Linked DNA regions of Schizosaccharomyces pombe. The gene in region 1 interacts genetically with each later gene. Each region holds a gene or a part of one and is shown on either strand. Other genes may lie near its edges.

What was found.
Region 2: of ned8 (region 1) and but1, changing one enhances a phenotype caused by changing the other (phenotypic enhancement), as found in Schizosaccharomyces pombe (one study listed by BioGRID).

What each region holds. Positions count from the first base shown.
Region 1 is NC_003423.3:2,319,126-2,322,040, reverse strand, and holds ned8 (ubiquitin-like protein modifier for cullin Ned8), read left to right. Parts: upstream 1-1,745; 5' UTR 1,746-1,784; coding exon 1,785-1,802; intron 1,803-1,850; coding exon 1,851-1,868; exon of another isoform or gene 1,869-1,939; coding exon 1,940-2,052; exon of another isoform or gene 2,053-2,102; coding exon 2,103-2,190; 3' UTR 2,191-2,283; downstream 2,284-2,915. Other genes in the region: ATP-dependent RNA helicase Spb4, read right to left, coding at 1-1,494, 1,624-1,658.
Region 2 is NC_003424.3:4,532,578-4,536,068, forward strand, and holds but1 (thioredoxin family protein But1), read right to left. Parts: upstream 1,811-3,491; 5' UTR 1,672-1,810; coding exon 940-1,671; 3' UTR 749-939; downstream 1-748. Other genes in the region: dynactin microtubule-binding subunit, p150-Glued Ssm4, read right to left, coding at 2,097-3,491. UniProt on the Schizosaccharomyces pombe protein: Acts as a negative regulator of the NEDD8 pathway. Has a role in meiosis.

The DNA.
Region 1 (2,915 bases):
CGAGCTAATTTTTTGGGTTCAGTTTTTTCGACTTCCAATCGGCGTCGTCTGGCCTGCTCGCGTACTTGATCACGGTATGGTATGGTTGCATAATCAATGTCAAATTTTTTAAAAATATTTTCGGATATTTCGGTGTCTTTTAACTCTGGCATTTTTGGAAGATGTAATAAAGCGTATGCCGTGGCCAACTGTCCCAAATCCAAATCTTTGATACGAAAAATAAACGACGCATGATGTTTTGTGTACGCACGAACATGTGAAACAAACGCTCTTAATCCCTTATCATATAGATCTCTGTCTTTGGATACGATTTTTCTCAATTCGTGGGTTAATACTTTAAGTCGTGAAAGATCTAAAGCTTCAATTGGAGTGTCTATACGAGTAATAGGTACCTTCCTAACCCTTAACAATTCCTCATATTCTTCTTCTCTTCCATCATTTAACAAAACTATTGCAACACCCGCTCGACCAGCGCGACCAGCTCTGCCGCATCTATGAGAAAAAGATTTCGGATCCAAAGGCGGGTCGAGCTGAAGAACAAAGTCAACATTTGGAATATCAAGACCCCGGGAAGCAATGTCAGTTGTAAAAAGAACTGTTTTTTTATTTGATTTCTTAAATTTTTCAAAATTACGTGATCGATTCGACTGAACTTGCTGTCCATGCAAAGCTACTATTTCAAACGGTAATTTATAAGTGAGAAAAAGGGAGTTAAAATATTCAACAGAAGCACAAGAAGAAAAAAAAACAATTGCTTTTTCGTATTCGATCGTACAAAGCAAATGTATCATACATTGTACTTTGTATATGGGAGGAATCACTAAAGATTGTATAGCTAGACTTGACGGTGTTCTTGTATCAATTTTTTTTGATGTAACTGTCACAGAAACACGTACGCTATTTCGAAGGCCAGCAATTTTTAAAAATGATGACACAGTGTCATTCATTGTTGCGCTAAACAACCCAGTTCGACGTTGTTTCGGAAGTTGAGATATAATGGATTGTAATGTACGCTGAAATCCCATGTCAATAAGGGTATCAGCTTCGTCTAATATTAGTATTTCCAAATGCTTACTGGATATATGAGAAAGCATTTCATTCAATCGACCGGGTGTACCAATCACCACTGAGGGGTTTTTTTCCCGAAATGAAGCTAAATCATTCGTGAGCGTTCCCTTTCCCCCAATATACATATCTGCAACGAGTTTTTTCCCTCCATCCAAAGAGTCTGGTTGGTACGCCAAAAGCTCTTTGGTAACATTGAATATCTGTGTAGCTAATTCACGAGTAGGTGCAACAATTAATGCACCCAAACCTGTTTCGTCCGTATCTCTACGAGTGACTTTATCGAAGCAAGGAAGTAAATAGGCCAAAGTCTTGCCTGAACCCGTTACTGCTTCAACTACCAGATCTTTATTTTTCAAAAATAATGGTATGGCATTAGCCTGAACGGGTGTCATTTTTTTAAATCCTTGAGCAGCTACGGCGTTCTTTCTAGTTTATGTTAGTGCTTGTAAATTGTTGATTTGACAAAATCCTGGTATCATTTAGATAATAAAAATTTTTGAACAGGTTAAACATGTAGCAGAACCTAAAATTTTTATTTTAGAATTGAAAACTTACAGCCATTTATCTATATTAATACTCTGAAAACTCATTGTCCCCTCTTTGAAGACCAATTCAATTTTTCGCGAGGTGAGCCAGAGGGGAATGCTTATAGGGAGAGAGAGGAACTGCTAGCGTTTAACCACAACAATTTCAGAAAAGCGTTTATAAAAGTTAGCATGCTTATCAAAGTAAAAGTAAGATAAATTTATTTCTTTTTTATGTATACTAATATATAATCATAGACATTGACAGGGAAAGAGGTTCGTGTTTTAAATGTTGAAAACATTTATATGCAGTTATAATTCATCTATGTTTCTAACCAAAATATAAGATCGAATTAGACATTGATCCAAATGACAAGGTTTCTAGGATCAAAGAACGGGTTGAAGAAAAAGAGGGTATCCCTCCTTCACAGCAGCGTCTGATCTACGCTGGAAAGCAAATGTAAGCACTATGGGAACATCCATACAATGATTCTAACAAACATCACGTAGGGCTGATGATAAAAATGCTGAAAGTTATCATTTAGAAGGAGGCAGCGTCTTGCATCTTGTGTTAGCTCTTCGTGGAGGAAGTTGCTAGTTGTTGCATACTTTATTTATAAAGAAAAATTATGTATAAAAAATCATACTTTTATTTAACGCTATAAACGAAATCTTTTTACTGTTTTACTAATACTAAGAGTAACGAAATGAGAATTGAGTCGCTTTATTATTGCTCTGTTTCATTTTATGTGAATCTATTGATTTGTATAAAAATATTGCTTAAGCTTTTCTAAACTTAAGACGTTTTGGTGATCATGAATTTCAGCGATAAGATTGATTACTTCTTGTTAATTTATGAGTAAAGTAGTCGTAAAGAGACGTTTTGCACAGAAAAGTCAATATATAACAACAATTGCTTGCGCATTCCCATCTGATATCAAAGTATATAAAGCAGTAGCATGCGAAGCAAAACTTCCTCAGTACAACATCGAATGTAATTACCATAAACGCAAAATCTCTAGTAAGACTAAAAGAAAATGTTGTTTAAATAAAACTAACTGCAAAATGCTATGTAGCAAAAACATGGGCTGTTGTGGGAATCGAACCCACGACCACCATCACCCTAAGATGGTATCATACCACTAGACCAAACGGCCACATTGATAGGGGTGCCACTTAAACATATATAAAGGAAATATACATGTAAATCTATATAAATTACATTTTTAAGGAGGAAAGTATAATCAATATGCTTATAAATTGCCATTTCAATGTATTGATTCTCATTTTTCTATTTAAGAAGTTTTAAATTTTTTTTGTTTA
Region 2 (3,491 bases), on another chromosome or scaffold:
TCTACTAAGCATGGTTATTCTATTAAGCAATTCCTGATATAGTTTGATTTACTGACACTTTTGCAACTAAGATCTCAATTCACTAGCATGAAATTGTTTGAACGATTTCGATAAAAATATTATAAACCAACATCTAGAAGACTAATAGTTTCAATATTTTTATGCTTCAAATGTCCAAAATTAATTTTGGTAGGTTTACACAAGAATAAACCAACTGTAATTATATCATATAATTATATTTCTTAAATATATATAATTATAAAGATTAGTTTACAACGATCTCCTTTAGTATAGGGGTAGTACACAAGCCTGTCACGCTTGCAGCCCGGGTTCGAATCCCGGAGGGAGAGAATATTTGATTATTTTTAATTTTTGCATTTTTTTTATTACTCAAATTTTGATTACTTTTGTTTGAACAAAATAATACTATAGAAGCCTGCACTGTCATTTTTATTTGAATAGAGGAATTTAAACTAAAATCTATCAGCTTGGCTTTGTTCTGAAAAAGTAAATGCTTCAAAAAGAATATGCCAAATTATTTATTGACTGATTGAAATTGATATCGGTGATGTTTATAATTTGATAATCAGAGTTGACTTTTTTATTTATTTAATTTATTGGTTCATTGATTTTTTTTGTTAAAGATATCATAGTTTAATAAATTATTCCTTACACTTTTTTTTTTTTTTTTTTTGAAAAATTTAATAAATACCCATCCGTACCTTATCGTAAATTTTTGACAGCATAATTTATGGTACATTGTAATTTATTTTGTGAAATATTAAATATATATATATGTATTTATAGAAAGTATTTTCTATTCCATTGAACCCATGTTTTGTGGTTTTATGTGTGACAATATCATCAACTTTTGCTGAAACGTAAAAAAATTTTTGTTTGTCATTTTTTTTTTGAACGAGTGATCATCATAGAAGGCTTTTAAAGCAACCTTCCATTTTCAATTGCCAAAAATCGAACAGTTTCTTGAACTGCTGTTATTAAAGTAGATACACAAGTGGTAGTACGAATGGGAAGGATGTCGCGTCGACGCCCTATGGAATCTATAATTACAATTGCATCCAAAGCTAATTTTGCTCCTCCAAGAGGATGCAGCATTCCCATCTCTCTACAAATTTCATTGTTAGAATCCGAAATAACTGGTAATGAAAATTGTAGAGCACGAGGCAGATGGGCTTTCCATTGACATATATTTTCAACCGTATCAGTAGTGATACCAATCACATCTGTGTTGTAGGATTGCAGACATGGATAAAAGTGACTAATGACAGATATGTGAAGTGGGACGTTGTCAACATAACCATAATCACCGCTGACATTACCAAAGAAACAGAGAACAAATGAAGAGAATAGTATAGGTAATTTATGAATTTCATTTATTCCACCGATACCATTTACAACGTAAACGGGTTTGGAAAGATTAATGAAACATGGTTCAAATACTACTTCCATATCTTCTTCCCTAATGACACGTGCATGGTTCATTCCGTTCCTAAACGAACTCTTTATATGGGGATGCATACCACGCGTTTCTTCATCTTTCGTAGAGCTTCTTCTTTTTTTTGTAGATTTAACTCTTAAAGTACAATTTTTCTCGTGAACAGCATCACGAGTCGAAATGGGAAACTGGAAAAGGTTTTGGTCGATTTCCATTTTCTAACCCTTTCTCTGCAAGAAGGTGAAGAAACGCTTGATACGCTTTAATAGAAAAAAGGTAACAAAAAAAAATAATATCGCTACCGTGCAATGTGAAACAAGCAGTTTCCCACTCTTAAAGTGGTTGGTTTAGGGTAAGTAAACTTGTTTATTTACATGATTCTCACGTCGACAATTAATCTTCAAAGTCGATCTAATTGGCCAAAAGTACGTTAGTTTAATACAAACATGAACCAATCAAATACTCAACCCCATATTTCGTTAATGCATAACAGGTCACAAAAGAGGTTACAAGTCGATCTTAAACTTAAAGCAACACCATACAGTACATTAATGATAAATTCGTTAAAATATGGCAGTTAAGATTAGAAGCTAATTTTCGGCGGCTATTAATAAATTGAATTATATATCTCATTAAAAGATTAGCATTTTTTGGAAAGAATGTCTGTTAACTGACAATAATTAAATAGCTGTTGATTGTGATGAAAACTGGGTCGCTCGATATCTTTTTTCCAATTCAAGGCCAGCTGCTTTTCTACTGAAACGGGTTTAATATCTGCAACTAATTTTCTTATCTCCTTGCAGGCAAAGGTCAATGGGCTTGGAATTGAGTTTTCAGTATTAGAATCCCGTAAACTGTGTTTGAGCCAGTCTATATTTTCACTAGTATTGTCACCTTGTGGATATTTATCGGCCAGTTTCATCCTTGCGGTCTTTAGCTGTTCTCTTAAATTACAAAGATTTTTCTCATACTGTGTCTTTAATGTTTCAAATTCTTTCAATGTTCTAGAAGTGATTTCAGAGTTAACTTCATTCTCGTATGATTCAATTTGTTCTTTTAAACGTTGGTTCATTTCTGTAAGGTCGTCTTTCATACTACTTTCCTCCTCCACTTGTTTTGATAGTTTCAATTTTGCACTGTTTAACTCGTCTATTACAATATTTGCTTTCTCAAGTTTTGCATTTAATTGCAATAATTCCTCTTGAGAGTCTGATAAGCATAGTTTCAAATGTTTAACTTCTGTCAAAGCAGGTTGAGAAGATATTAGTAACTGAGATAGCCTTTGAGTTTCCTCTTGCACCTCATTTAACTTTTCCGATTGTCTTGCTTCTATTTCAGTGTTTAGCTGATTCAAAGTTTCCAAGTCTTGAATTTCTTCTGTTAGTTTTAATACTTTATGAGACAACAAAGCATTTTCCTCCAACAGTTGCCTTCTTGTCTTCACACCATCCACTGAAGAGTTGTTGGACTTTAAGTTTAATAATTCTTGATAAACTGTGCTATTCCAATGTACAAAATTTTCATTTGTTAATGAAAATTGTAAATCCAAACTTCCCGGTACAATATTTAAGTATCTATTCACGTTAGATATTGTCAATTTCTCAGAAAACGGGTTTTTAGGAATTTTTACAAGCTCAGTTATGTCGACCTGAACCTGTTTTAATTGCAAAACCTTAGAAACCTCTGAGACCCCAAGGAGACTAGATGGTGTAACTTGTGTAGTCCAGTTGTCCTGGCTTTTAGGAGTTTTGGAATTCAAACTTCGATCAGAGTACTTATAATTAGGAATCTTTCGAATTTGCAACTTTCGCTTTCTTAGATACTTTATTTCTTTCTGCATAGCCAAGAATTTTTTGAGAAACTTTTCACGCCTAAAATTCCGAGGTTTTTCAATACTGTTTTTACTGCGAAGGAATGTCAACTGAGGTTCAACTTTCTCTAATTCCTTATTTAATTTATCAATTTTTTCTTTTAAGGCGGTATTTTCACACATCAATTCATCCAAACGACCCTTCCTTAATTCTGACTTTAAATT